5 linked regions of the Cricetulus griseus genome follow. The protein of the gene in region 2 purifies or fractionates together with the protein of the main gene of each other region. This does not show direct contact. Links are inferred from orthologs where the notes say so. Each region holds a gene or a part of one and is shown on either strand. Other genes may lie near its edges.

What was found.
Region 1: the proteins of Pop4 (region 2) and Rpp25 purify together in Homo sapiens (affinity purification with mass spectrometry; 3 studies listed by BioGRID and IntAct, counting the BioPlex papers as one, with this or other methods). This does not show direct contact. The link is inferred for Cricetulus griseus from reciprocal best matches to the Homo sapiens genes POP4 and RPP25.
Region 3: the proteins of Pop4 (region 2) and Pop1 purify together in Homo sapiens (affinity purification with mass spectrometry; 5 studies listed by BioGRID and IntAct, counting the BioPlex papers as one, with this or other methods). This does not show direct contact. The link is inferred for Cricetulus griseus from reciprocal best matches to the Homo sapiens genes POP4 and POP1.
Region 4: the proteins of Pop4 (region 2) and Rpp14 purify together in Homo sapiens (affinity purification with mass spectrometry; 3 studies listed by BioGRID and IntAct, counting the BioPlex papers as one, with this or other methods). This does not show direct contact. The link is inferred for Cricetulus griseus from reciprocal best matches to the Homo sapiens genes POP4 and RPP14.
Region 5: the proteins of Pop4 (region 2) and Rpp38 purify together in Homo sapiens (affinity purification with mass spectrometry; 4 studies listed by BioGRID and IntAct, counting the BioPlex papers as one, with this or other methods). This does not show direct contact. The link is inferred for Cricetulus griseus from reciprocal best matches to the Homo sapiens genes POP4 and RPP38.

Annotation. Positions count from the first base shown.
Region 1 is NC_048597.1:169,123,734-169,129,062, reverse strand, and holds Rpp25 (ribonuclease P protein subunit p25), read right to left. Parts: upstream 2,676-5,329; coding exon 2,076-2,675; 3' UTR 1,891-2,075; downstream 1-1,890. UniProt on the Homo sapiens protein: Component of ribonuclease P, a ribonucleoprotein complex that generates mature tRNA molecules by cleaving their 5'-ends. Also a component of the MRP ribonuclease complex, which cleaves pre-rRNA sequences.
Region 2 is NC_048599.1:152,152,037-152,157,806, reverse strand, and holds the start of Pop4 (ribonuclease P protein subunit p29), read right to left. Parts: upstream 2,912-5,770; 5' UTR 2,683-2,911; coding exon 2,676-2,682; intron 616-2,675; coding exon 563-615; intron 1-562. UniProt on the Homo sapiens protein: Component of ribonuclease P, a ribonucleoprotein complex that generates mature tRNA molecules by cleaving their 5'-ends.
Region 3 is NC_048603.1:16,507,348-16,513,398, reverse strand, and holds part of Pop1 (ribonucleases P/MRP protein subunit POP1), read left to right. Parts: intron 1-1,614; exon of another isoform or gene 1,615-1,783; intron 1,784-3,499; coding exon 3,500-3,615; intron 3,616-4,655; coding exon 4,656-4,847; intron 4,848-5,833; coding exon 5,834-5,988; intron 5,989-6,051. UniProt on the Homo sapiens protein: Component of ribonuclease P, a ribonucleoprotein complex that generates mature tRNA molecules by cleaving their 5'-ends. Also a component of the MRP ribonuclease complex, which cleaves pre-rRNA sequences.
Region 4 is NW_023276807.1:76,004,735-76,011,341, reverse strand, and holds the start of Rpp14 (ribonuclease P protein subunit p14), read right to left. Parts: upstream 4,383-6,607; 5' UTR 4,180-4,382; coding exon 4,119-4,179; intron 4,102-4,118; exon of another isoform or gene 3,957-4,101; intron 1,897-3,956; coding exon 1,809-1,896; intron 1,716-1,808; coding exon 1,631-1,715; intron 1-1,630. UniProt on the Homo sapiens protein: Component of ribonuclease P, a ribonucleoprotein complex that generates mature tRNA molecules by cleaving their 5'-ends.
Region 5 is NC_048596.1:220,624,603-220,631,198, forward strand, and holds Rpp38 (ribonuclease P protein subunit p38), read right to left. Parts: upstream 4,017-6,596; 5' UTR 3,882-4,016; intron 3,701-3,881; exon of another isoform or gene 3,566-3,700; intron 2,958-3,565; 5' UTR 2,839-2,957; intron 1,198-2,838; 5' UTR 1,188-1,197; coding exon 348-1,187; 3' UTR 261-347; downstream 1-260. UniProt on the Homo sapiens protein: Component of ribonuclease P, a ribonucleoprotein complex that generates mature tRNA molecules by cleaving their 5'-ends. Also a component of the MRP ribonuclease complex, which cleaves pre-rRNA sequences.

The sequences.
Region 1 (5,329 bases), on a different chromosome or scaffold from region 2:
TTGTCCAGGCTGGCCTCAAACACTATATGTAGCCAAGGATGATTTTGAACTTTTTTTTTTTCTGTGTGTGGGGGTTCGAGACAGGTTTTCCTAGGAGCTATGGAGCCAGTCCTGGAACTTGCTCCGTAGACCAGGCTGGCCTTGAATTCACATGCCTCTGCCTCGGGAGTGCTGGGATTAAAGGCATTCACCACCATTGCCCAGCGACCTTGAACTTTTGATACATACTCCTGTCTTCACATCCAGAGTTCTGGTATTACAGGCATATGCCACCATGGCAAGCTTATGCGGTGCTGGAGGTCAACACGAGACTTTATACACATTAGGCAAATACTCTACCAAATGAGTTACATCTTCAGCCCAGTTTTCCATTCTTTCCAAATCTCTTGCTCCATCTCTGAGAGGGGCTAACAAACACATCTAAATCCCTTGGCTCTCCATAGAGAGTCCTCAAGAACAAGAAATTGAGCTGGACAAGATGCACACCTGTAATCCCAGCAATTGGGAGGCTGGTACAGGAGGATCAGTTTCTGGCCAGCCTGTACTACATGGCAAGACCATCTCTAAAAATAAATAGGTCAGGGGGAGGGTAGAGTACAATGAATGACAGTCTGGATGGCAGGACTTGGTGATCCAAAGCAGAAGCAGAGATATTGGAAGGAGAAAAGGGGCCTCCTCAAGGAGCCCCTCCATCAGCGGCAGAAAACAGCCTCCTCACCAGTAGGATTTAGTTCAAAGATCTGCAAGCAAAGTGACTTACAAATGTAAGTCTCCTTTCCAGAGGTGCTGAGTGTCATGGGGTGGCATCTGCTCTGAAGAGCCTGAGCTATATGCTGAACAGCTCCCCATCTGACTTCCAGCACACGGCATACCCCCACCCCCACCCCACCAGCTTGGACTTGGGCAGAGAGGCATCTGAGGCCGTTATCTCTCAACACACAGCTGTGCAGGGCTGGAGGCAGCAGCTTATCAGGGAGCCTGCAGTGATTCACAGACCAGGCTTCTCTGCTGAATAGTAATTTCTAGCAGTGGATTTGTGCTGTCTCTCTCCTCCCCCTCTCCCAAGGGTGTGCTGTCCTTTTGCAGAGAGAGGGCAGTGAAGGGGAGCTCCTACTCATGGGGCTTTATGCCTGCCTTCTGGGTAAGGATGTCTACCGGGAGGAGGGTACAAGGTTAGAACCTTAGCATGGTCTGCCAGCCTTGGCAGGCTGCCTCCTTCGGCTCACCAATGCTCTCCCTCCTTCCTCTCTCAGAAAAGCAGCAATACTGCTTCCTTTCACTTTGTAAGGATGCAACAGGGACACAGACCTCCACCCGCTCCACCACGAGTCCCTCATGCAACATTTTGAGGCTGCCCGGTTGCTGTGTCTGACCTTGAACACTCCAAAGGCTAATAAGGTTGAAGGCAAGCATGCCAAAGTGTCTCTGCACAGGCGGGTAGGTAAGGAAAAAACAAAAAACAATTCTGGGGACAGAGCCATTTTCATGTTTGTTTTATTGGAAGCAAGACTCCAGCAGTAGGACTCAGGGGAGGAGGCGTGGAAAGTTTTGTCCTGGGTCTCCTATCCACCACCATGCAAAAGGGGGGGGGGGGATGCTAAGAGGAAGAAAAGCTAAAAAGGGGAATTGCCAGGCGGTGAGTGGGCAGAATAGGGTCCTAACATTTTCAACTTGGCCACCCTCAAGGAATCTACGTCGCAGCCCCGGCCCTCAGTCAACAAACAGCAAGAATGATTTCAAGACCCTCAACTGTCAGTTTTTGCGCATTCTGGGTGCTTTTAAAGTCTGGGTCCCCAAGAAGGCTCAAGAGTCTTCACTATCCACCATGCTTCACTAAAAAAGATCCCAGGATGGCCTAGAAAAAGTGGGGGTGGAGTTCTGTGGCTTCTGGCAACACTTCCCACAAAGTTTTCTTGGACTTCAGGGGATCCTCTTATCATTCCTGAGCTCCCTCTCTGGTCGCCTTGGGATCCCTGCTGTCAATCTTCCAGTCCAGGAACATGGGCCCCTTAAAACCTTGGTATGAAAGTGCACGAGGATGTGGGAGTGTTGAGGTGGCTCAGAGCCAGGAGTTCTCAGGCGGTCGAGTCCTCATTCTCAGCCCCTGGCTCAGGCTGAGACCGTTTAGCGGTGCTTTCTCCAGCAGCAGATTCCCCCAGGCTCCTCTTGGACGTCGACACCGTAGGAGTGGACGAAGGACCAGGATTGAGGTTCGGAGGCTGGTAGCCGAGTTGTAGTGGATCCAATGCGTCCTTTGAAAGTAGGATGGCCAGGCTCGGTACATTCTTAAGTACACTGAGACTGGCGGCCGGATCGTCAGGCGTCTGACCCCGCGTGGGCCCAGGCGGGAGGCTCTGCCACACCTCGCGCACGCTCCGGTAGCGCAGCCGCGTGACCTGGTGTAAGCCCGCCAGGCGGCGCTTGAGGATCTCGACGCACGTGACGGTTTTGGTGGTGGCCCGGCCGCAGCCGCTGAAGACGATGGCGCGCGTGGCTGGCTGCGCCATGCTGGCGGTGGCAAAGGCCAGCAGGTTGCGGATCTTGCTGCCCTCCTTGACCCGCATGTGTACAGCACCGGGCGCCAGGTCTGCGAAAGGGCCAGAGTTCAGGCTGCCACCCTCATCACCGTCCCCCGCCGGCGCCTCCTCCGAGCGCACCTTACGGAAGTTCTCCATGCGCCGTCGTCGCTGGGATCGCAGGTTTTGCCATGGGGTCGCTTCAAGCCCGGGGCTGCATGGCCGGGGTCGCGCCGGGCGACGGCCGGTAGGGGTTGGGATGCCGGCACCGAGTGGAAGCTGAGGGTGGGCTGTGGACACGCAGTCTCCAGCCCAGATTCCTACCGGGTGGTGCTGCTCTACTCTGAGCCCTCGGCGCCTTGTGCTCCGCGCCTTTAGCAGAAGCTCCGCCTGGGAGCCCGAGAGGCCCCGCCCCTTCGTCCAGGCCCCGCCCCAACTCTGCGTGACTTGTCCGAGTCCCAGCCCAGCCAGCCTTTGGGATCAAGCGCTAGTGCTCAGCGGCTGGGGTCACAGCGCCAGGGGTGACTTGGGAGGCGAAGTTTCCCGAAGTAACCATCGGTCCTCCCTGAACCAGTCCTCACGTAGGAGCAACCTAAATAAAAAACCATGCTTGAGGTACAGACGCCGATTCAAACCCGGTTCCCGAGCCTTGGGGGTTCCAGCTCAAGGGCATCCCTAGACCCCCTCCTAGGTAAGAGATTTCCGAACCATCTCCCGGGGCCTCACTCCTCCAACCCTCCAGAGACCCCCCCTCTCTCTCCTTAGTATTCTTGCCTCAAGGACAGCCAGTGCATGGTCAGCAGGGTGTGAGAGGAGTTGGCTCCGCTACACGTTGCGCCTTCCTAGGATTCGGACCGCTACGTCGCAGCATGGTCCTTGCCTAGCTGCTTAGAGAGATCTATCTAGGTTTCAGCCTCGCTCTTCTTAGCCAGACCTCCAGGCTCCTGGTACCCTCACACCCCTGAAATGCAGGAAGTGATGCGCAGGGCCAGCCTAAAGTGAATGGGAAGAAAACGAGACCATTTCTTCCAAGGCGTTAACGTTGTTGTATGTATTCATGCCTGAAGGTCCTTTACTAGAGCTGCACGCATTCTTATCTGCCTGGCTCAGTCCCTGCCGACACGGATTTATCACTTCCAAACCCATGAGGAATCAGTCTTGGCTCCTAGCAATCCAGAGGGCTGTTTTTGCTGAAAGGGACTGAGAGGTTTTGAGAGATGGGAAGCGGGGTGGAGTTGAAGCCTTGGGGGCGGATTTTGGGATTTGGGGTAACCTCTGGAAACTCCATCGAGCATAAGGAGAGGCTCGGGCTCTGCTGCGAGGTGAGATGAACAATAGAAAGACACGGCTAGGGACGAAGGACTGGTGGGAGGAAGAATCTTTCATAAGGAGTGAGGGAGGGACCATGCATGTCCTTCAGTCTCCAGCCTGGCTTTCACAGAATGCAGGGAGCCTGACAGACCTGCTAAAGCGAGGGCAAGGAAGAAGCACCGAAGGCTGTAGGGAGCAGGTGACCCCGAGGGTATTGTGAGCACGACGGTACCTGGATGGGCACAGCTTCAGTCTAGGTGAGGGCTGCCTGGCCCTCCTCTAACTCTTAGCTATCGGTGACAGTTCTCGGCCCCTCGCAGCTCAGAACACCAGGTTCCTCATCTCTTTTTGGAGGGTGTCTGCAGCACCTGGACCCTTTTCTCATCAAGCGTGAGTGACTGACTCTAATCTCTTGATCATACCCTAGGACTGTGCCCGGAACTGGATCTCTGGCCTGGTCTCAGATCTTGCAGGCTTCACAGGGAGAAGCAGGTTCGGGAGGCACCGCCTTGGGAAGACACCAAGACTGCAGTGTACGGGGGCCACGAAATCAAGGCAGGAACCCGAAACTGGGAATTGAATCAGAAACCACAAAAGAACTGCGCTTACAGGCTTGCTCTCGGTGGTTGTGCAGCCTGCTTTCAAAGACGGGCGGTTTCGGATTGGCCTGAGAAAAAGTTCCAGAAAGACTAGAAGCTGTGAAGGATTGGGCTGGTTGGAAAGCAGCTCTGTGTCCCCGGGAGTCTTCAAGCCTGGGCTAAAACAACTTGGATGTGGGCAGGGACCTGGGAGCTGCGGGTTTGTTCCAGTGAGGGGCAGGCGGTTGTGCCTCCAACCAGGCTGGCAAGCTGGTCTTTACACCGCCACCCACTTCCAGTACCACCACTACCCTCTGCCATAGACTCCCCCATTCACTTTAGTCCGGAGTCTGTAGAGGGAGAACACAGAAAAGGCCCGGTTCCCCGCCCGCGCGTCGCTTCCTTTCCCGCTCCCTCTGCAGCACTTAAAATGTAAATGCACATCGTGATTAGCCGCGGGGTCGCTAATTACAGCTGAAGCCATTCATTACACTGTCAGCTTGCTCCGTCGCCCGCCGGCTGTGCGCTCCCTCCCGGCCTGGGGAGGGGGGAGCGGTGGGGGTGTGTGGCGGGCGGTGGTGGAAGGATGAGGGGACTGCGCGTTGCCGGGAAGCCGAAGGCCGGGAACCAGCAGAGGGGCGGTGAGCTGAGGAAATCGGTTGGACCGTGAAGAAACCGTGGTGTTAGAGAGGGGGGAGAAACGCGGGAGGCTGGAAGGAAGCGAGGATAAAGGGGAAAGGGTAGTGTGAAAGAAGAAACCAGGTTGGGAAGAAGGCCAAAGGAGAAAGCGTGATAAATGGGTAGGAGCCTTCGGAAGGGGACAGATGACAGAGGGAGGGCAGAGAAGGTTCAACTTGTGGAAAGTGGGTAAATAAAGGCACTATCTTTGCTGCACTCGATACCACTGTTCAAAAAGGCAGTCAG
Region 2 (5,770 bases):
GTGTGTCTGTGTGTCTGTGTGTCTGTGTGTGTTTTTGTTTGTTTGTTTTTCAGGAACGGGTTTTCTCTGTGTAGCTCTGGCTGTCCTTGAAATGAGACAGCTTCTTGCTTCTCCCTCCCACGTGCCGGGATTAAAGGCAAGCTCCACACAGCCTGGCAGAATATGCTCTCTTTATGAGCCACATGTGAAGCTTCAGCCCAACTGACAAAGCTTGCTGACATACCCAGATAGAATCTGTAACATTCACTTATGAAATAGGCTGAGCACACTGAACAGGGCAGAGAAGCAAGAACAAGAGAGGTTTCAGGCACAGGCTGTCACTGTCATTCCCTACAGAGTGGGAGATGACATGAAATCAAGGAATCCAAGTCCCTCAGAGTGACTCTGGTACCCTAGGAAAGGAGCCTGGCACAAGAAGACATCAGCACTAAAGACCTTGATGGGGCCTAATGTACTGAATGTAAAGATGAGAAGTAATCCATGGGAAGGACAGCTAGACCAGACTCTGAGCCATCTTTGTTGCCACGTCTCCTGCTCCCAGCCCACCTTTCAAAGATTGTACCTGTACATCGTGCTCTTTGGCTTCTTTATGAGAAAGGGCATGGTAAATCACAGCTGGGGGATAAAAGACAAAAAGAGAAGATTACTTCCTGTGAGGAGTGAGTATAATATCCAAGGCTTTTCCAACTATGACTTCTGAATAAGCACTCTTATTCAGATGAGGACTACTGGGTTAGTATGAAAAGGCAAAGCTTTCTTGGATGATCCTTCTATTATACTCTGCAGTGCCAGGAGATTAAACTCAGTGGGGTTTAATGCAGGGCAGGCTTCACCATGGATCCATGCCCCCGACCCTACTCAATGCGGCTTATTTACACATTTATTTAAAGACAGGCTTTCAGTTTGTATCCTGGGCTGGCTTAGAGTTCGCTATATAGCCCACAGTGGCCTTAAACCCTCAGTACTCCTGTCTTAGGCACCCAAGTGCTAGTTGCTGGATTATACACGTGTACCACCACAATTATCCCAGATACATTTTACTCTTCCCTTGGCCAGAGATTTGTCCTGGAAATTCCCAGGATGAGGTTTAAAAGAGCACCTCTCAAAGCTTAACTTGTTTAAGAATCACTGGACTCTTATAAAGACACCGGTTTTAATTTCTACTCTAGACTCTGCATGTCCAAAAAAATTCCTCAATGGTGCACATTGATTGATTGAAAATACAAGTTATAATTATGCTTGGGTGGTTGCTCACTTAGTAGTGAAGACACTAAAAGTGAGGTGATATTAATGGCTAGGGTGTGGTTGATTGAAACTGAACAATTTGCAGAGTACAAGAAGTTTAAAACAGATTTTTAAGTCTTTAATCCATAAAATTGGAATGTACCCTGACCAGATAGATACAACAGTCTTTCTTCAAATTCTAAATATGTCCAGCATGATGCCAAACTTTCTCTAAACCTCATGCTCCTGTTTGGTATTTGTTTGGAGGAAACCACCATGGTGGTGGGGGCAGAGTACAGGAATAAAGGAGATAAGAAAGAGCAAATGACCAGAATATGTAGCTCACACTACACCCTATACACTCAGTCTCTGAGCTGGGTGTGGTGGCACACACAGTTGATCCCATCACTTCAGAGGGTGAGGCAGCCTAGCTTACATAGTGAGTCCCAGCTCAGTCAGGACTACATAGCTGACCTCATCCCAACAGCTACAATAACAAACCAACAAACAAAAGCCCATGTCTGTTCTCTTGTGCTTCCCTGGGTACATGTCTGACCAGAGAGTTACCAGTTTTACATACAAAATCTTTAGTTCTCCCTTGAACTGCAGATTAAGACTATACTTTGTTTCTTGAGGAAAATGTGCAGGGCCTGGGACCCCAGGAATAATGTTGCTTTACCTACTGCAGATGCCTAGCATGAGAGCTGGAAGACTTCCTGCTGCAGTACACATGTGACAGCTCTGGTACACTCAGTGCTTGTCAAGTACTTGTTTTACAGCAACACATACATGCATACATACATGCATACATAAGTACATATATATACTCATAGGTGTGTATATAATTTATTTCAATCTCATTAACCTTTCTAAGCCATTCGGAATATAATTATTTCCTTGTATGCACATAATAATATTGACATTGAGTCATGCCAAGGCATCAGAGGATGAAAGGACACAGCAGGGGTGGAAATCATTAGATCAGAGGCTTAATCTTTACATTGTGCTCTCTCTGCTCTAATACCGCTCCAGTGCTTGCTTCCCTTCCTGGCTCATCCCTTTTCTGCTCAAATACCAACGCCTTAGGTTTGTGACACTGCGCCCGGGAAGCTTTTTATAAGAGAAAGGGTGAAAAGCCAGGATGTGGAAGGGAGCAATAGTTATACAGGCAGGCAGTGGTCAGGACAAGCTAAAGGCCTTGGCTGCACCTCTTCCAGTTCTCCTGAGCGTCACCAGTTCCCTGGGGTACCACACACTCATCCTGACATCTATTCCAGCTTAGAGACTGAGTTGGCCGATTCACACTCTGGGCCTCGACTGCTTTTGTGTACTGAGTCAGTTGCCTGGAAGTTGTCTCGGGACTCTGTTGTGACAGGATCCCTGATTCGGCTTCCATTCCCGACCCTCTATGCTGTCATCCACCCCGATTTCGAATCTCTCGTGACACTGACCCTTCATTGTCGGCGGCTTCCCGCGAGCTCTGGTGAAGTCTCCTTCGGGCCTCGCTCACTGCTTCCCTTTATTAGCTCTCTTCAGCAGCTTTCGGCCACCGGGACTCTTTCTGGTTGAAATTTCCGCTGGACAAATCCGCTGTGCCCAAGAAACGACGCGGGCACAGTCCACACACAGACTCGCTCCAGTACTTCAATGGACCCCGATCTGACTTCCGCTATGGCGCCTCGCGTGACGTCATGGAGCCGCGCCGGCCTCTGGCGGACATGCGCCTTGTGTTTGGCTCTGCAGCCGAGGGAGGGGCGAGGGAGGCGGCCGCGTCTGTGGCTGGCGGAGCGGAGCCTGTTTTTCGCTGTCTCTTCAGTTGGTGTCGCCCCCTGGCGGCCACAGTCGGGTTGCGGGTCAGAACACAGGAACACAGGAGGCGAGCTGTCCTGAAGAGGACGCCAGGGAGACTGGGGCCAGGAAGGCCCGAATGCGCCTGAAATAGCGGAGGTAATGGCTGCAGTGAGGGTTTAGGAGTCCTTTGGAGTTTTGTTTTCCCTTCAGTTTTCCCTGACAGGGTTTCCACTGTTTAACAGCGCTGCCCGACCTGGAACTCACTCTGTAGACCAGGCAGCCTCAAACTCAGAGATCCTCCTGCCTCTGCCTCCTGCGTGCTGGATTAAAGGCAACTGCCACAACCCTCAGTTTTATTTATTTATTTATTTATTTATTTATTTATTTATTTATTTATTTATTTATTTTTTAAGCAAGGGAGTCAATGCCCATGGCTGTCCTAGAATTCATTCACAGTATTACTAGTCACATTGTGTAATGATGATGGGGATTTACATCTGTTTCAGCTACTAAGTACTTTTATCACCTCGTTTAAGGGTCTGTTTCCTATGACTGAAAAGAGAGAGTAACTTTAGCTGGCTTTGGTCTCAGAACACTTGCTTTTTAAATTTATTTTTCTCCTCTAAAGACAAAGTCTCCCTGAGTAGCCCAGACATTTGCTATGTAGCCTAGGCTGATCTTGGAAATGGAGTATTCCTGTGTAGGCTTCCCTTCCTGCATCCAACCCAAAAAGCATCCTTGAGACTGGGAGAATTGGTGCTGTCAGTATGATAAAAGACAAAAAGTGATTCTCTGGAATCCAAAGGTCCAGCCAAGCCTGCTCAGGTTGCCTTGGTTCTGTCCAGACACTGCCTTTAATTTCCTGAGTGCTGGATCTAACTTGGAGGGTGGGTAAGGGAAAGCAGTGGTTTTCTTAATAGTGAGCACTATGCAACCTTTTAAAGGCAAAAAGAATTCTCAGAAAAACTTGGGCAAACAACACCGCATCCTTGTTTAAGAAACATAGGCTTTGTAGATCTTTGGGTGATAAGTGTGTGCCATTTTGATCTTAAGCAGTACAGGACATGGTAAGGCACATAGGATTTAGAGTTTGGGGACAGCCTGATAACAGCAGGATGGTCACTAAATGTGTTTCCTTTACAAAGGCCTGCAACTATTTTAGCATCTATCAGAGTGTATTTGAGAAAGTGCCCTTGAAAGCTCATAACATGTGAACTCCATAATGTACACCTGATCACTTGTTTGAGACAGAGTCTCCCTCTGTAGGCCTGGCTGTCTGAGAACTGGCTATGTACATCAATTGGCTACAAACTCACAGAGATCCCCCTGCCTCTATCTCAAGAGTGCTGGGATTAAGACATTTTAAAATATTGCTTAACAAAAGTTGTATATTTTTATGATATTTAAAAGGACACTGAAATTTATATATTTCGAAATGGTGAAATCAGGCTAATTAACCCAATAACCTAATATAATTGTTTTTGTGATGAAATATTTAAAATTTTAGTGAGTTTTTTCAAGAATATGATGTTGCTATAGTTACTATGTCATACATTAGGTTATTATATGTGAACAGTTGGGTTTCTTTAAAAAAAACTTAATGTTTGGTGCTTAGGATCAACCAAGGACCTAACCCATGTCCTCTACCACTGAGCTGTTCCACCCTCACAATTATGAACTTAGATAAGCATAAGACGATAGTGGACTAGGGGTGTATCTCAGTATATGAAGACTTATACATTGAGGTCCTGAGTTTTGTTCTCAGAGCTGGGAGTGGGAGTTGGGTGTAGACAACAGAAAATATGGGAGTTATTTTATGGGTTGTAGATTCAAAAGTAGCATGATTTCTGTTTATAGTGACACAGGCAAATGTCTGCCTCTTTCAGGTTATTAGGAGTCTCTCTTTTTAAAGGAATTATTTTGATTAGTGGCTGTTCTTTCTGGTTTTTCCGAGACAAGGTTTCTCTGTGTAACAGCCCTAGCTGTCTTGGAACTCACTTTGTAGACCAGGCAGGTCTCAGCCTCACAGAGATCATCCTGCCGGTCTCCCCTGTCCTGGGATTACAGATGTGTGCTACCATGCCTGCCTCTATTTTATAGTGTTTTGAATGCATATGTGTGTGTGCACTGTATGTGTGACTGCTTCCTGAAGGGTCCAGAAGAGGGCTCCAAATTCTCTTGAACTGGACTTAACACAGATGGTTGTAAGCCTTTATGTATTCAATGTGTTTTGAACCCTGATCCTCAAAAAGAATAGGAGGTGCTCTTAGCTGCTGAGCCATCTCTCTAGCCCACTTATTGGGAATCTCTTGATGAACCTTTTTTCAAATAGCTAGTATAGCTTTGGGTATCTGTCAGTGTTCCCTGTGATTCTCAGATTACAGTAGGCTGGTGGATTCCCCAGAGAGACAGTGCTTACTAAAATATCTGCCTTGTAGGAAGGAGGTGCACCCACTTTATCATCTTCAGAAAACAGTGCATGAAGAGATACCTATTAGAATTTTTGTGATTATTATTTATGATAGCAAAGTACTCAGAACAATATTTGAAATGGATGGACTGAGAAAGTGAAATATGTGCTGATTTATTTGGTAAATTAAATTTATCACATGGGTGATAGAGTGCATACCTGAAATCCCACCACTCAGATAGCTAGGCCAGAAGGATAAAGAGTTTGAGGCTCCCTTAGCATACACAGTAAGACACTGTCTGGAAAAGTAAATTAAAGGTTTCAAAATTTCTGATTCGTAGACAT
Region 3 (6,051 bases), on a different chromosome or scaffold from region 2:
GCACCCGCAGCTGGTCTTGTGCTCTTTGGAAGCCTCTGTCTGACCATACAGATGATCCAGGTTCGAATCCTGGCAAGGCCATCCCAGGTGCTGAAGTATCAGACCACGTGGTTCTGACAGGGGCCCGAGAGAGCTACCTAGCCGGGAAGGTGGGACTTGCTGCAATTTCTGTGATGTCACCTTGGATTCACTGTCATTGAAAACACCATTAACTAGGAGAGTAATATGAGCTGGCTTGTGAACTTTGGGAGAAGAGCATTTAAGTGTGTGTCATAACAACTTCACAATTTTGTCTTTAACCTCTCTGCATGTAGTTAGCTAGCTTACTAGGGACCAATAAGTGGCCCTGTCAGAGCTCCACATAACAGGTGGCTGAGAGGATTTGAAGACACCCAGGTAAGTTAGTCACTGTGGAGCCTCAGACTTTGTTGGTTAATGTGTACGGTCTAGTGAAACTGGAAGGAGGCGTGGAGTGTCTCCTGAGGGTTACTTGCCGAGCTGTAATCACCTCAAAGCCACGGGTGAACTCTACACCCCTCTGGCTGCCTCATATTGGCTTTTGGGTGGGCGGTTCTAACATCCTTTATAACAGGTTTAACGTGAATCTCGGGTAAAGGGAGATTAAGTCTGTGGTGAAAAATGATTTAGCTTCCACTGTAAAATCCACCGTGTGTTAGACATTGTTGTGGATTTCGTTACAGCATGTTTTTGTTGCTTTTGTTCTTTGAGACAGGGTCTACCTGGATGCCCCTGGCTGGCCTGGAACCCCCTACGTAGAGCAGGTTGGCCTTGAACTCACGGAGCTCCGTCTACCTCTGCCTCCTGAGTGCTGAGATCATTAGAACCCGTTTTAAGTACTGTGATTCCTTTGAGGATATATTTTAGTTGATGTTGAGCTACATAAAGAAAAGTGTCCTTTTTTGGGCTGGGGATGCAGCTCAGTAGAATGGTTGCCTGGCATGTGAGTGGCCCTAGTTCAGTCTCTAGTTGTTTTGAGATAAGGACCTTCTTATGTAGCTATGACTGGCCTGGAACTTACCTAACCCAGGCTGGACTTGAACAGTGTCAGTAAACACTTTTTCTCGTGAAGTAGTTGGATTAGTCTTACAACAGTGTTTTTAATATCTCATCTAGGCGGGTACGTCAAAAAGGAGGGTAGAGCCGGGCGTTGGTGGCGCACGCCTTTAATCCCAGCACTCAGGAGGCACAGGATCTCTGTGAGTTCGAGACCAGCCTGGTCTACAAGAGCTAGTTCCAGGACAACAGCCTCCAAAGCCACAGAGAAACCATGTCTCTAAAAACCAAAAAAAAAAAAAGAAGGGTAGAGGTACACTTTAGTGGGTTGGGTCAATTAAGTCTGTAGAAGCAGCTCAGTCCCTTGACCTAGTCCAGTCTGTATCTGAAGTTGTTCCCTGCCTGTTTTGACTGGAACCAACAGCAATAGCAAAACTCAGTTTAAACACTGCTAACCTGGAGATTTGTGTTTGCCTGCTTGGGGTAACGAGCTCCTTTTCTTGGATAAACTGGATCTTAGGCATTTTAAAGGAAAAGATTCCTAGGACCCTGACTGTGTTCTCATGCTTTGGAGAGGTTTGACTCTTAAGAGTTAATATTGTACTTACCTGGCAGGAGAGAGGTACCATGATCATGAAGGTGGTTTTTCCCAGGGCGAGGCTTATCCTTATTGCACTCCGGATGTGCAGACCCCTGCGATCCCCCCAAATTCGGGAAACTCAGCTGCATGATTTGTGGTGGTGGGAGGGACTGCACTCACGCTCTCCCCTGGGGGGGGGGGAGAAAGTTAATTATTAATGTGTTTTTATAACACCTTTCAACTTCATTAACAGGGCAGTTTACTGTTGTAAGTAAGTGGTCTCTGAGGTGAGTTTTTAAAGTACTGATCTGAGGCTGGAGGTGTAGCTCGGGGAGAGAGCTCTTGCCTAACTTCACAGGGCCCTGAGTTCAATCCCAGCACTGGGAAAGTAGAACGAAACCCTCAAACCACGTTTGTGCAGTCTCTAGCAGTGGCTGATGTGCTCTGATAGACTATTTGAACTGGTCCTTGCCAGAGAAGAGCTTGCTTTACCCTTGCTTGGCCTTAGAAGCAGAAAGTGTGGCTCGGTGGCAGTGAATGTGCTAAGTGTGCGTGTTGTAAGTGTGTACTCACTGCGGCTTGCCTGCACTCACTGGCTAGCGGCAAACAAACCAAAACAGAAGGGAAGAAAGAAAATAGTGAGCTGCACTGTGTGTGTAGGCTCATTTAGAGATTTGTGTTGAAATACTCTTAGGCTGTATGACCTTGGCATCCCAGGGCAGCCGTGGACTTCAGGAGCTCACTCTGTACAACTGTGTTTTCTGCTTCTGGGAAGGAAAAACTAGGCTTTGTTTCAGCAGAAGCTATCCTGTCCCTAACGCTGAGTTGAAGGCTTCAGCGTCCTTGCCCTGATAACCCTTATGTTTTCACAGTGCCTGTGGTTTTGCCTTTTCCAGATGTCATGTGATTGGCTCTCTCCCTTAGTGAAGTGTGCACCTAAAGATTCCTCTCTCCCGTCTTCCTGTGACTTTGTGGTGACTCATTCCTTCTAGTCCCTCAGCAGAATATTTGAAGTTGAACTGGTGCTTTCCTGTGCCTTTGTTTCCTGAGAGTTCTCTCTTGTGTCTACAACTCAGTTTGAATCATACCTCAGTTCTGCCCATCCGGATCTGTGGTGAGCTCCACAGGGCAGCAATCTGGGTCGTCCAGGACTGCTGGGGATAGGCTACTGGCTGTGTGGCCATCCCTGGCACTCAGCACTGAACCTCAGACCTCGCTGCTCTGTCTCCAGGGGAAGAGCAGTTTATAGATGCTCTGCAGCTTTCTTTCTGTCCGGCCATTACCTAGTCACTTGCAACTTATTTTTTTCCCTAGCCAGCAGACCCACACAGGTATGTGATTTTGAGTGACAATGCTCCCTCCCCCTGTTTTTTTTTTTTTTTTTAATTCTTCAGTGTAACAAAAATAAGATTTGAAGGACTTCTTTTCTGTCATGTTTAAGTGACTGGGTGTGGAAGTGTTAAGTGTGCATCACTGGAAACCCTCCTTTCTGGTATTCTAAGCACAGCGTGGCTTGCTCAAGAAACAGTACGGTTCACAAGCACTGCTCACTTTAAAGGAATGACGAAGTGTGTTTTACAGACAGGATCGAACAGCTCAGTAAAAGTTAGTTACAAGAGACCCTAAGTGAAGGGTAACAGAAGGTGTCTTCTAGAAATTTCATTGTCTTAAATTCAAGGGGCAACCTACAGTTATTAGTATTATAGTTGTGTCTGCACAAAAGTAATTATCAAAGAAAAGTGTTGTTATTTCATTGACTAGGAAACCAGTTGTCAGAATAACTTAGTCTTTTGTCTTCTAGTTCAGCAAATGCCTATGAAATAGTTTCCCTTCACCACAGTCTTCCAGCATTAGAGGTTGATGGGGTGAAAGTGTGGTTTGAAGGCTGTTTCTTTTCCCTCTTAGATGATGAGCAAGTCAGACAGCTGCTCCAGGAGGGTGTGCCCTTGGAGTGTACGCATAGCTTTATCTGGAACCAGGAAATCTGTAGCAGTGTCACAGAGAATAAAATCCCGGATCAGGTAACTAATGTGCCAGGAACTACGGGTAAGCTCACAAATGACAGGGGAGTCACCGTTGTAGAGACCTTGCAGAATGATTTCATTCTGTAAGTTTCACCCTGCCCCCTGACAGGGTTTTTCTGTGTAACAGCCCTGGCTGACCTGGCACTCTCTCTGTAGACCAGGGTAGCCTCAAACTTACAGAGATCCACCTGCCTCTGCCTCCCGAGTGCTGGGATTAAAGGTGTGCGCCACCAACGCCTGGCTGTTATTTATATACTCTTTACTGTGATACTTTGAATTGTTTGTTTTAAAGAATAATTTCTAGAAAAAAAAAAGACCTTTTCCTGAAGTGAAGAACCGTGTGGCTTAAATATATCCTATTTGGTCTTAATTCCCTTAAGTATTCTGTCTTTAAGTTCATACTGATTGTGTTCCCACCAGAGCCAGGCATCATGTTAGATACCCATAGGTGACTTGGGCATTAGGAAGTCTAAGATTCCTTGGGACTTTGAGGCTGGCTTGCTGTGTGAAGGAGCTGATGTTTGAACTTACTCTCTGATGGGAGCTAGGCTTCTTGGGGGCAGGCATGTTAGGAAGTAAGAACAACATGAATATGTAAGTTAACTTTGAGTCTTCTGGTGTACCCCAGCCCAGACAGCAAGTTTAAGATACTTTGGCATTTTCCTACCAATGCCTGCATATAGAGGAAAATCTTTATAGAAAGGATATTTTTACTTATTCTGGCTCAAGTTTGCTTATTCAGAGCCTTTTATTTTCCCTCTCTTTTTTCCTTTAGGTTTATTTTTGAGACAGGGTTTCTTTATAGCTTTGGAACTTGCTCTGTAGACCAGGCTGGCCTCGAACTCACAAAGATCCTCTTGTCTTCTGAGTGCTGGGTTTAAAAGCATGCACCACCACTGTTTGGCTTGCTTTCCCTTTTAAAAGAACATTTAACTTTTAAATTTGCTCCTGTGGTGATCTAGAAAGATCATCTGTAAGGTCTAGTAAGATTTAGAAGACAGTGGCTGTTTGTATTGACCTGTTTTCTTCCCCTTTAGGATTTAAACCGGATGAGAAGTGAATTGCTGGTGCCAGGGTCACAGCTTGTTTTAGGGCCTCGTGAATCCAAGATACCTATCCTTTTGATCCAGCAGCCAGGAAAAGTGACTGGCAAAGATCGCCTGGGCTGGGGAAGTGGCTGGGACGTCCTGCTTCCCAAGGGTTGGGGCATGGCTTTTTGGATCCCATTCGTAAGTTGCCTTTTGATCTCAGCTACTGCTTGCAATATTTAAAACACGGTGATCAGCATCTTAACTGTATAGCTGCTCTGAGATATTCACAAGCTTGTTTTATGTGTTGATCCTACCCTTGTCCTACATACCCATGCCCACCTGAGTTCAAGGCCAGCCTGGAATTATAGAGTGACTTCCAGGACAGTCAGGGCAGTTACACAGAGAAAGCTTGTCCCCAAAAACAACTTGAATCAGTTTGTGAGCTCAGCTTTTACAGAACTATAGAGCGTACTGTTGTGGTTTGCTAACTATGAGCATATACTGCTCCTGTTTCTTAACCGTAGCTAAGAGGCATGCCAGTGTCAGGCTGCTAGGTTCACACAGGTAGTTAATTTTTGACAGTTACGCCTAACGCAAGGAGCAGTCTGTTAATCATTTAGGAAGGGTTTTTCTTTTTCTTGGCATGTTTGTCATTTTCTTCAGCCTGAGAGTTGGACTTGAAGGTCTCAGCGGGCTAGGAAGCACTCTGTCAGTTAGCTTCATTCCCAGACAACAATCAGGCGTTATTTCATTCACATAGAAAAGAAAAGGTCCTCTCACCTACCGAGTGGCTGTGCACCCTTTGCCGGCCATTCCCCCATGTCCCTCACACCAGTGTCATCTCTCCTAAAGTAACACTGTTATGATTTCAGCATTTGTCATGCCTTTACCAAATGCTTTTATCTCTGTAAAGTACGTTTTTTACTCTGTCTTATTGTAAATATGCTTCTGCAACCTGTTGTATTCACTGGGTATTGCGGTTGTTTTCCCGTGTTGGTTGACGTTCCGCTCACATTCATTTAAACTGCTGTGTGGTGCTTGGCTGTAGGAGTATCCTAACATGGGTTTACCAGTTACCATCTGATGGGTTTTTAGGTTATTTCTCATTTCCCCTACACAGACAGTTAAACAATTTTCTCGCTTCAAGTTAGTAAACTGACAGGGCCTCTTGACATTTCTCCTAGATCTTCCGAGGTGCAAGAGTTGGGGGTTTAAAAGAGGCTACGGTGCATTCTCAGTATAGAAGGTCACCTAACATCCCCGGCGATTTCCCAGACTGCCTTGCTGGGGTTCGCTTTGCTGAAGACCAAGCTAAGGATCTTCTGGAAAAGTATAAAAGGTAAGGAAGGAGCTGCCCTTCTAGTCCGTCTCCGGGGACAGAAGCGACTGCTTGAATTGCCTA
Region 4 (6,607 bases), on a different chromosome or scaffold from region 2:
GCTCCTTCCCATATTCACAAGATTAGGCTCAGTCTAACTGGGCTCTTTCTTATACAAGACTTCACACTTTGCTCTCCATACCCTCTCCTTCTTGTCACTAACAAGACTGATAGATAGCCCAAGAGATAGAGGCCATGTCTTACAGCTCTGTCTCCTGAAACTACATTTTTTTTAATAGCATATAGAAATTGCAGGTTTTGTTTTATAATTTGTTGCAATCTACAGGGAAGTTCATGTACTCTTCCCTCAGGCTCCCCCAAAACAGCATCTTATATAACCTGGTACCTGATCAAAGCCAGGTAACTGGTATTAATACAATTCAGAATGTACTTAGAGTTGACACCATGTGTGCACATTTATATTTATACGTGTGTAATTTTTTCACACAGGTGATTTTTTTCCCGGTTTTTTCGAGACGGGGTTTCTCTGTGGCTTTGTGGCTGTCCTGGAACTAGTTCTGTAGACCCGGCTGGTCTCGAACTCACAGAGCTCCACCTGCCTCTGCCTCCCAACACACAGGAGATTTCTTCAGGATACCTAGACATAGGGGTGTGGGGGGGCCTTGGTCCTGCCTCAACAAGATGATGGGACAGACTTAACAGATTTTCTAGGTGAGGCCTTACCCTCTCTGACAAGCAGATGGGAGGTGGGGTGGGTGGAAGTGGGGGGGGGAAGACGGGGGAGTGGGAGGAGATGAGGGCAGGGAGGGGGAACAGAGATTGGAATGTAAAAACTAATTATTTATTTTTATGTGTGTTTTCCCCACATGTACACGTGTCCTAGCATGTACATGTACCAGCGGTCTATTGCTCACACACATATGTATATGTATCTATATATGAGCACTATATATGAGCCACTGCACATGTGTGGAGGTGAAAGAAAATTCTCAAGAGTCTGCTCTTTCCTTCCACCATGTGGGTTCCAGGAACTGAACTCAGGACATCTTGCCATCCCTCACACTGCTTTATAAAGAGACCTTCTCACTCAAGTGTGATAGCTCCCATATAAACCCTTCATCTTTACAAAGATGGGCAATGATATTACCAATCTAGACTATAATTTGATAGCTGTGCAAAAACAAACCGTGGCCTACCAGGTTCCTTGTCAATACAGGGCACACTGGAATAACCTACCAGAACTCATTATTTCTGAAAGTTGGCTTTTGCAAATTCCAGTATACCTTTAAAAGATGATATTTCTGTGTTTCTTACAAAGTACTCTTCTAGGCCAGGAGTGGTGTTGCTTACCTTTAAGCCCAGTGCTTGGGAGGCAGAAGTAGGTGGTTCTGTGAATTCAAGGCTAGCCTGTTCTATAGAGCAAACTGCAGGACAACCAGGGATATACAGAGAACTTTTCTCAAACAAACAACAAAGTTTTCTTCATTTTAAAAAAGTATGTAGACAGGCTGACTTCCAACGGCTATGTAGAGGAGGTTTACCTTGAATTCTTATTCTACTTTCACTTACCAGGGGTAGAATCACAGATGCTAGAATTATGATAGGTGTGTGCCCAAGTGACAGGTATGACCCATCATTTCACCACTGGGCTAGATATACTCTTAGTCCCTTTTCTAGAATGTCTTATGAAAACCTAAAGAATCTTACTTAATCTGCCAAGTAACTCATACCTCCCCAAACAGGTCCTTCAGGGCTGAAACAAGCAGTTGTTTGAATTGGGCTGTATTCAGTCCAACTCCGTGTTCTTGAAACTCTCTGGAAAAAAAAATATTAAAAAGAGAAATTATCATATTAAACTCCATGCTTTTCAGATTGGGGTGGGGGGAAACATTATAAGACTGAACTTACAAGCAGACTTTCATGTAGTGGTACTCCGAGGGGCTCTTGTAAACTAGTCTTTCATATGCTGTAGCTGGCATCTTCAAACATGGAGTTCCTACAAGGAGTCAAGAGCGCTCATAATTACCAGATACACCTTATTATTATTAGTAGTAGTATTGTGTTTTTAAATTGAGAAAGACTTGTTATATAGCTAAGGCTAGCCTTGAACTGATCCTCCTGCCTTTCTCTAGGAAGGACAGAGATCACCAGCTAGAATGTCAGCACATCCAGCCTATTTGACTTTTAAAGACTTATTATAGTACTTTATGTAACCCTGGTTAGACAATGGTGGTGGTTAATGGTCACATGACAATGCATATTTCCTTAATGACCAAAAGAAAGTTAAAATGACACACTGTATATTTTACTCTTTTTAAGGGCACTTGCTGCTCTTGTAGAGAAGCCAGGCTGGGTTTCCAGTACCCACAGGGTCTGTACTCCAGTTCCAGAGGATCCAACACCCTCCTCTGGCCTTCCTAGGCACTGCAACAACATGGTGCATAAATACAAATGCAGGCAAATCCTCCATACAATTAAATAAAAATAAACTAACCTTTAAAATGATGACTTAAAGAGTCACTTTGTATAGTCTTAAGCTCTCAGAGTAAAATCTAGTATCGTCCTCAGTAGTTTGGCATCATACTCAACAGGTTCAAGATGTATACCTCTTACAGTCACTGTTGATACCTTTTTCTGATTGCAGGGATGTTGCTAGCAAGTTACTTGGTTTTGATCTTCTGCCCCCCTCTCTAATCTATATGGCTGCTGTGAACGTGTTAAACCACATCACAGCTAGGTGGTGATGCTAAATGCCCTTAATCCCAACACTCAGGAGGCAGAGGCAGGTGGATCTCTGAGAGTTCCAGCCAGCCTACTACAGATCCATGACAGCATGACAACCAGGGCTACCCACAGAGACCTGTCCTGAACCATCACCACTCCACCCCCCCCAAAAAAAAACAACAAAACCCAAAATGCCTCATATCACAACTCTGCTCAGACGTAGTGATGCTTCTGATTTTATGCAGAGTAGGGTGGAAATCTTTGAGGTCCTGCTTTGACCTCATGTACAGTCAGGGACAGCAAGAGAGAGGAACCAAGAGGACAAAAGAGAAACAAAAGAGGGTGTGAATAATCAAGAGAACCAAGAGGGCCGGTGTTGCTGGCACACACCTTTAATCTCAGCACTCGGCAGGCAGATCTCTGTGACTTCGAGGCCAGCCTGGTCTACAGAGCTAGTTCCAGGACAGCCTCCAAAGCCACAGAGAAACCCTGTCTTGAAAAACCAAAAAGAGAAAAAAAAAAAAAAAAAAAAAGAGAAGCAAGAGGAAGAGAAGAACCAAGAGAGCTGAGTTAATAATCAAATAGCTGAGTTACACAGGAACGAAAAGCTGGGCCTGAGGTGGTTAGGGGAGGGAGCAGGACTTGTCAGCCAGAATAACTGTAATAGGTACTTGTGAGCAGGGACTGAGGGGGCCTAGCATAGCCCTTGATATGCTAATAAGCACCACAGTCATAGGTTAAAAGAGGAGCCCAGTGAACCTTTAGCCAGAGGTAAGTGGAGAATGACTCAACTGTCTTAAATTCCAGAGGGAATGGCAGCTTTTGTCTAAGTGCCAGACCGGAGAAAAGGAATTCCTCTGGGGGTGGGGGTGGTATTCGAGACAGAGTGTGTAACAGACTTCTGACTGTCCAGGAACTCACTCTGTAGAGCAGGCTGGTCTCGAACTCATAGTGATCCATCTGCCTCTGCCTCCCGAGAGCTGGGATTAAAGGCGTGCACCACCACTACCCAGAGAACAGGAATCTTGTGAGACCTAACACTCTAGGCTTCCTCCTCCTCTTGGCCTCGGCTAAGACTAGTTTCTCTGCAACCCAGAAGCCGGTAGCCACGTGTCTCACACTTCCTAGCCTCCTTCATCTTACTCAATGCGTTCCACGGCTCAATCTGATCTACGATGGCGCCAACCCCTCCTTGCCCAGTCCTTGCAACCCTTAAATTCTAACAGAACTACAGAATATCTAATCTCCACTTCCTTCCTCCTGCCTCTCACAACGCCTGTACTCCGAAAAACAATGTTTAGTCCCTATGGCTTCTACCGGATTCAAACGTGCCTTGCACATTGAAGCACACGAAACACAACTCTGGGACTCATGGGAGCAAAGCAGCCGTGGAAGAAGCCCGGCCCCCTACTGCTCTAAGAGTTATGCGGTTTGCAATCTTGCTCGACAACAACCGCCATCTACTTGGCGCCCACCACGAGGGGAGTGCGCTACCTTCAACCTTCCCCGCCGTCTGGAACCCGGACCGACCTGCCAGCCGCACCGCCTCGCGCATGCGCACCCGCACAGGCCGCGGGCCGTTAAGAGGCTCCGGCGGCGCTGGATCGGCCGCGTCCCTGTCTCCTGCGCGCTGCTAGAACCGGGCGCGGGTCGGAGTTCCCACGCAGCAGCCCAAGTCTGGGCCTGCAAATGTGATGTGTTTACATTTGCCTCCGCCCCGCACCTCCCCACAGACGCGACGCGCAAGCGGAAGTGACATCACTGCTCGGCGTCGGCCCCCTAGACGGTGGCATGGTCCTCAGCCGGGCTGAGGTCGATGGGTTCAGCGCCCCCTGGCGCCCATTTCCGGAACTTGCATTTGTGGCATGTTTTTTAGGCGCTAGCAATCTTCGTGGTCATTTATCTCTACATTCATTTGCAACAGTTTATATCAAACATCTCCTCTCTTAGATTATTTTCCTTGTTTTTTTCTTCTTTCGCTGTGCCAGGGATCAAAACCACCGCTTCATCTATGCTAAGCAAGTCCTCCACCACTAAGCTAAATCTAAGCCTTGTCCTCTTCAAGAACATCTCTCAGGCACCAGACAAGATCCACTGTCAGTGGCCCTTTATGGCTCCTATCACACAGTTCTGTCTTGACATGGAAAGATCTAGCTGCTCCTGTATCCAGATGTAAGTTATTCCACTTTTGATTTACTCACCAAGAGTTTGTTCTGAATTCACTATGTGCTAGCCGCCATTCTGGGCGGTGGGAGCTCAGGAGCATAAGGTATAGTCCCTCTCTATGTGTGACATATAGTGTGTATTTAATAGTAACAATAGCAAATTAATATTACTTGGTGCCAGGCATTGTACAAAAGATTTTACCTAAGTTATCTAATGGAACCCTCAAACAACCTTGGGGTAGCTATTATCCCAATAGGGAAAGGTTAAATTATCTGCCCCCACCCCATCATGATTACAAGTGGTATTACAGATTATCTGCTTTGGCCAGTAATGTCCAGACTACACCATCTTAAACCAGCTGGAGTCTGAGGTGATCTCTGTGTGTGGGGACTTGTGTGATGGCTTATCACTGCCTTGTATGCCTTGGTACCAGCGGTCACTCAGCTTGTACTTACTAAAAATGTTTTTGATTTGGCCTGAGCTAGACATGGCAGTGGGCATAAAATGTATGCCTTGCACAGCCAATCCTGTGCCTAGGCCAGTTGGGGCCTTCTCTATAACTGAGAAAAGAACCTAATATTTGTTGTTTCCTAAAACTCTGTCATTCTTGTCTTGGCCATGCTCTGTAGTCATGTGGCTTCTGCTCCTTCCCCCTCAGGGGGGACAGGACTTGTTTCAGATGGGGAATAAATGGAGGAAACTAACACTGACACTAGATAGTGACATTTTCTTTCTCAAAAAAAAGTTTGGATTTTGGAAGTTGCCAGAACTGGCTTGGAATCCAGTTCTTCACTTCTTGTACAGATAGATCATCACCAACTTCCTTGAGGAGTTGTAAGAAACTCTTTTGGCAGTAGAAGGAATTAGGTGTCTTGTAAGAAGCTGGTGCATATTTAACAGACACTATGAATTATGAGTCTGAAATAGCTCTCTTAGGTTATCAGTCACCTTCAAAGTATCTATGTTTAATTATACATACCAAGTCAGTTTCCATCTGGTCACATACACTTGGTGACATGCAGGATTTCGTGGAAAATCTTTATCTTTTAACTCAACCACTACAGCTCTCAGTCCATCCTATTTCACTTACCATTAATTTGTGTGTGTGTGTGTGGGGGTGTGTGTGTGTGTGTGTGTGTGTGTGTGTGTGTGTGTGTGTGTGTGTGTGTGTGTTTTGGTTTTTCAAGACAGGGTTTCTCTGTGTAGCTTTGGAGCCTATCCTGGCATTCACTCTGGAGACCAGGCTGGCCTCAAACTCACAGAGCTCCACCTGCCTCTGCCTCCCGAGTGCTGGGATTTTTTTTAAAGATTTTATTTATTTATTATGTATACAACATTCTACTTCCATATATATCTGCACACCAGAAGAGGGCACCAGATCTCATTACAGATGGTTGTGAGCCACCATGTGGTTGCTGGGAATTGAACTCAGGACCTCTGGAAGAGCAGCCGGTGCTTTCAACTTCTGAGCCATCTCTCCAGCCCACCGAGTGCTGTGATTAAAGGCATGTGCCACCAACGCCCGGCATGTTTAACTTTCTATCGTGGTGTCTCATACATGTTTGTAAGCCTTCCTCAGCCCTTCCCAAAACACACAAGTAAGTACACGGTTACTTGTCTTATGCAGGGTTACTATTACTGTGATGAAACACCATGACCAAAGGCAAGTTGGGGAGGAAAGGGTTTATTTAGCTTACACTTCCACACCATAGTCCATCACTGAAGAAAGTCAGGATAGGAACTCAAATAGGGCAGGAACCTGGAGGCAGGAGCTGATGCAGAGGCCATGGAGTAGTTCTGCTTACTGGCTTACTCAA
Region 5 (6,596 bases), on a different chromosome or scaffold from region 2:
CATGTTTGTGGCCCATTTTCCAAGTTTGGTAGAGAAATGTTAAGTGCTGTAGGAAACTGATGTTCTTGCAAGCAAGCATTGTACCAGCCTTTAAAGCAGTGAATTTATACACGCATGGACATTAGTCTCAATAAACTTTGGTTTTGTTAATCATCGTTTTTGAGTGTTTTCTGTACCTCATGGTTTTAAGTTTCAATGTATGTGTCCCACCCAGTCAGAAAGACTTGCCATATCTGAAAGAACACCTCCATGCAAGATCCTAAGAATATATGTAAACATACTTTATTTGTTTTAAAATAAAAGTATTTAGATCATATCCTTTCATGAAATGACAAGTTCATACAAAACTACTTTGAAATGGATTTTTTACTTTTGGGTGGTTTCCTTATCTTATGAGGGTTGGGAATGAGTTTCTTTATTTTAAGGGGTTGTAGTATTGTAGTGGAAGCCTGCCCACCTTCGGCAGGCTTTCTCTTACTAACTTTTGTAAGGTCATCAAATGAAGTGTCCAAAATCTCTTTGTCCCGGCTTTCCAAAGATTCTGTCTCTAAACTGTCTTTAGGATCTTGGGTTCTGTCTTGAAGCCATGGCACATGTAAGCTGGGCACCCTGGGAATGATAGCTCTTACTTCCTCAGCGAAGTCCATGGAGTTCTTTCTAAAGCCCAAGGCTAGCATACATTTTAAGCCAATGACAGGAGCAATTCTCTGGCTGAGCTGAGGAACCTGGCAAGCGGGCACAGTTCTGCTTATACTCAGCTGAATCATGTGTGAGGTGATGACAGCAGGCTTGACCGACTTACAAACTAGAACTAGGAGCAGTTCATTCCTCTCCAGAGCTCTGGTGACTTCATTAACGCCAATGACCAGCTGTTTTCTGACATGTGCGGGTGTCCACCCTGAGACCTGCACATTCCCATCGTGCTCCTCTTTCAGACCCTCACTAATCTCAACATCTGGGCTGCATCTTTGCTTTTTTACAAAAGGTGTTTTTTTCTTTTTATCTTCAATTTTCTTTAGTCCAATTGATTTAAATTTGTCTTCAAGTGTCTGTAATATAAAGTGTATGTCCTCTCTCTCCAAGGTGCTCCAGGAAATGACATACGGGTTGTTCAGTGATGTCTTTACAACCAGAGGTCTAGTCTTCCTAATAGATCCCCTCTTAGGTGCTTGAGGGGCTGCAGCCATCTTGAAAACCCTTCAGAAAGAAGCATTATCTCATGTTAGTAATGCATGCTCTGAGAATATTTTGGTTATATTCCAGTGTTTTCTTGTTTTTTACTCCAAACTGATAGGCAAGTCTAATTATATAGGCCCAACTAGGTAGCCATGAACATAACTTCTCTGGTAAAATGAAGTAGTTATAATTTCCCCTATTTTTTTCCATGATACACAGGCAATGTGAGAATGACTGGTGTTAAGCTCAGAGGTTTAGCATCTTCTAAACTCTTAATTAGACTTCACTCATTTATTTTTAAAAATTAAGTTACTAGGATTGGGGATCATATCATAGAGCGTCAGAGGGGACAGCTCTATCAAAGTAGGTTCTCTCCTTCTACCATGTTGAATCACAGGGTAGAACTTGGGTCACAAGCATAGTGGCAAATGCTTTTACTCTCTGAAGAATCTCAAGGGCCCCTCATTCACTCATTCATCAGCCCATATACTCCAGTGGGCAGATGGTGTTCTAGGCACAGCTGCTGGTGGGCATCAAGACACTTGTGTCTGCCCACACAGAGCTTATCTGTAGTCTCTGAAATTCATAACTAACCAGATCAGGCTTTAAGAACCAAAAGTAATATATGTCCATGGCTAAAACTTATTCTGTACCCCTTTGTAAGTCTCCTTCAATGATCCCCAATTTCCTTCCTAAAACATACAGGCACATATTTTTCCCTTCATTAGATTATAAGATGACTGCTTTGACAGGCAATTTCATGAAAATTTGTGATGAAATTCAAAGAAATTAATCCATTAGGGAGAAATAAAAGGGCTGGGCTCCTTCCGAAAGCGTATTAGAAGCCATTGGCCTATTCATAATTTTCCTAGAGACTACAGATATGGTATTAGCCTTACAGACTCTTTAGGATGTTCTTGGTTGCTCTCTAGTTGGGTATTCATCTAGATCAGGCTTGTCCTTTCCAAAGGCAACTGCATACTTCCTTCTCTCAGTTATTTTCTCCTTCCTAGAGTTTATCTAAGAACTATAAAGACCCATTTAAGCAAGTCCCCTTTGATTAAGGTTCCTCCATTTCAGGGCACTTTCTCCAAATATATACCCAATTCCCTAACACACCTATAGGGTTCCTCAGTGTATGGGTTAGGAAGCTGACTCATGGCTCCATCTTCGAAATAACCTGTAGCTTATAAGAACATACAGATGGCTGGTTCCCACTCTAGAGCTACTGAGCTGTAGGAGTGCAGCCAAGTCATGGGTGCTGGTAAGATGTCCAAGTGAACTGAAAAAGAACCAGCATTTGGAAATGTTGGTTGTGGGACAGGTTGGCTTTCCAAACTGGACAGTCCCAAGAAATGGTGTTGCAGAATCACTCCGAGATCCTGATCCATAAAGCCAGAATTCCTCCCAGTGAGTGCTGCAACCTGGTCCTGTCAATGCTGCCCACTGCTACAGACATGGTCTGTTGATGCTTCCTTCCCCACACTGCACTGCACTCTCCCATTGGTCCCTTATTAGCTCTATGCTCCCCTCAGGCTCAGAGATTAAAGAACAGAAGGCCATCCAGATCTAGTGAGGTGACTGCCAGAAGCTGATATCTGGCTGTAGGTGGTCAGACAAAGTGACCAGGGAGCAAGACAACGGCCCCACCACAGTTCTTACCAACCGGCGATTCAGTTACTGTATGGGCCTAGCCCATCGGTTTACGAGGGACACTCACTCTTAGATACTCTGCAACCAAGGGACAGCAAGATTGGGATCACTTCTCTGATACACAGAACCTGGAAGGGAAGATGAAAAAAGTCAAGTCTGCATAAGGTGGCCGCCATGCAATATGAAAAAATGCTTAACAGCTTCATAGACAGGAAACCAGGATGGACATGTGCCTTGCCATCTGTGTCTGCAAGCTGCTGCTGCCTACGGGATCAACTGAAAACTCAAAGGTTTAGCTTTTACCCTCCCATTTCTCACAAGCCTTTCTCCTTTCACCCACCATGCATATTATAGATTCGGGCTATTTAATGAAACCTCTGGTGTCTCATGTCCTTATGCTCCGTGTATCCAGCCTAGGATACGACTCACATACCACATGCTCTCTCTTCGTCAAAGTCTTATGGATTATATCCTTGATGCCCTAAACCATTAGGCGTTGTGCAAAGCGAAGGCCTCTGCGGTTAATAAAAACGTCTCACTTTAAAAGAGTAGTAGTGATGTACCTTAGGGAGCAGAGAGGTGTGGCCTTAGCCGAGAGAGTCAGGAAAAGAAGGCTCTCTGGGGGAAATGAACGCTCTCTAAAGAATTCCTTCCAGACTAAGTAGAAAGGGGGCAGCGGGGTAACCCAGAAGAATATTCAGTGTCGCTGGGACAGAGATAAAGGCGTTGGAATTACCGGGTAGGGACAAGATGGAGAGTCTTGGCGGTGGAGTGGCGCGATTAGAAAGGCGTCACGGAAAGACCTTGATTCTGGGAAGGGACCTGGGAAAGGTTGTCAGCAGCAGAGCACCAGTCCCGTGGTCTCGGGAGAAGCAGAGGTACCCGCGTTTCGCCACGCAAAGGAAACCCCTCCGGAGGGAGACTGAGAACGCCGGAAGGGGCTTCAGGGAGACCTGGAGTGACCTCAGAAGCTGTCTGCAGCCCCTTTCCCACCACCCCGCGGTGACAGGGGTGCCCACGGGCTGGGACTCGGACCATAGGCGCTCGCCCACCTCTCCCGAAGCGCGCCCTGCGGAGACCACAAGACAGGGACTCCGTATCACGACTCCGCCGCCACTGGGGACCCGAGCGCCGGCTCCACGTGCGCCTGCGCTGCGCCTGCGCAGCCTGACCGCCTCCCTTCTGCATTACGTCACACCTGGTAAGGGACTTGAGCGGCAGCTTGTGACAGCAGGAAGTCCTTCCGTAAAATCCCTAAGCTCGGGACAGACCTCTGGAGCAGCACTGCGCAGGCGTATGATCTGTCTCGCGAGAGTCTGTGGTTGCTGTAGTAACCAGCCGCTCTCAGTCTGGACTGGTGGTGTAAAGATGGTCTAGCCACCGGTTCCTGGGTTCTGGTTCGTGGTTTAAGCACGATGGCTTCTGCCTTGGAATTCTGGCCCGCTATCTCTTTTCATTCTAGAATCGCAAAGCTCCAGCCCTTATAACCATTCATTCTCTGCACATGTCCCCGCGCCACGAAAATCAAATAAATAAGGGTTGTAGGGTTAGGTGTAATTACAATTTAGGTGGAGAATTTTGAGCCAACTCCAAGAGAAATAAGGGCGGCTTTCAATTCCACAGCAGTATTCCAGAATATTCCAGCAACATCTGTTCTGCCTTGGAGACAAAAATGGAGACAAAAAATGGTTATCAAGCCAAGCGGTGGTGGCACACGCCTTTAATCCCAGCACTTGGGAGGCAGAGGCAGGAGGATTTCTGCAAGTTCGAGGCCAGTCTGGTTTACAGAGTGAGTCCCAGAACAGCTAGCTAGGGCTACACAAAGAAATCCTCTCTGGAAAAACCAAAAGAAAAATATTGGTTATGAACAGGATCACTGGGGAGTTATGGACACTAGCAAAAGAGTGGGATACTGTGCCAACGATTTAAAAACCTAAATCTGTTGGCTACATTTGACAAAATGTTTTTATCCTTTCTGTCCTTTTCTAACGAATTTGGGTGGACTCAGGTCCTTCTCCATGCCTTCCTCCTGTTCTCAGTGTCTTCACTGCTCATTTTAGATTGTAAAACTTTAGAGTCTAGTATTTTCATTATACACCACCTACTGCACATAAATTAAACAAAACAAAAAGGGTTGCTTTGGGTCAAAGATTGTTGCAGTTTTTACAGGGAATGTGCTGTGGTTTTTATCACAAGCAGATTATCAAGAATAAAGCCAGCATGAGTTTTGAGTGTAACAACAGGCTTTTGTTTCATAAAACGTTCTTCACCCTTTTGCAGTCATGTGGCGCTGAAGACAAATTGCGATAGTCAATTGAAACACTAAAGGTTCACATAAAACCCTGGTGCTTGGGAGACTGAGTCGGGAATATGTAGAGTTCAAGGTCAGCCTGGACTGCTTAGTTCAAGGCGACCAACCTCAGCTACAGCCCACACCCCCGAGACACACACACACACACACACACACACACACACACGAAAGAATGAAAGAAGGAAGGAAAGGAAAAGAAAAGAAGAGGAAAAATGAGAGGCAAGAGGGGGAGAGAAACAGAAGTAAAAAGGTAAGCAGAAAAGAAGGCAATGGCTCTGTTGTTATCCCACTAAAGTTCCAGAAATAAAGTTTACCCATGACCTAACCTTTCACGTGATCATTTTTCTAGCTCCTACATTACAAAGCTTTGGAACCAGGCTGCTAAGTTGGAACCCTAACCTTACCACTAACTAGTGTACCTATGCCTGGCACAAGTTATGAAGTGATAAAAATAGCACCTATTCTGAGGATTAGAAGAGAGTTCTGTGTAAGATGCTTATCACAGTGCCTGCCACATAGTAAGTGCCAGACAAACTGAACCGTGATGGCCCAGTGACATCTTTGGCAGAATCAGGTTAATAAAATTTAAATATATCCTCTACTATTTTAGTCCTTGTTTTCTGTTTGAAGTCTGGCATTATTTCCACAAGAATTTTACAAAAAAAAACATGCTATTTCTCATAGGTAATTTATTCCATTTGTGTGACACAAACTTCATAACAAAACAAGTTATTTTTAGAGGTTCTCTTAAAAATCATCTGAGATGATACAGTCACCCCCACATTTTTGTTCAGAGTCATATACTAACTTATTTCCAATAGATGTGTGCTTAAAAAACAGTAATATCAATTCAGTTTATGTTCAGATTGTTTTTCTACAAGCATTTTCCAGTATGTCTCAAATATTTCTACAAACATTTTTCAGTAAGCATCCTGTAGTTTCCTTAATTACTATATATTTGGCATTCTATACCTAATGGTCAATTTTGCTTTTCAATGATAGCTGTTATTTTAAAATAATTGTTAAGTTTATGAACATCTCTTAAAAGCTTTTAATAACTTAGAAGGTTTATAGAAGCTTTATTTTTGTATTAATTCTTGAACTGTTAGATAAAGGTTACAACAAAATAACATTAGTTTAAGATTCTAAGTAAGAAATTGTAGCATTAGAGCTGACAAAAAGTTTGTCAATAAATATTGTGCAATATTTGAATACCAGATTTTTCTTTTCTTCCATGGAATTCTGACCTTTGTTCTGTATTTGTTGTGTGCTATTGTGGTTTTGTGGATTCTGCAAAGATAACTGTTAATAACAATTATTTTATTTCTAGTTTTTATTAGTATGTAGAAATTGTCTAAAATACTGGTTTCAGCCAGACAGTGGCGGCACACACCTTTAATCCCAGCAGAGAGAGGTGGGTCTCTGTGAGTTCAAGGCCAGCCTAGTCTACAGAGTG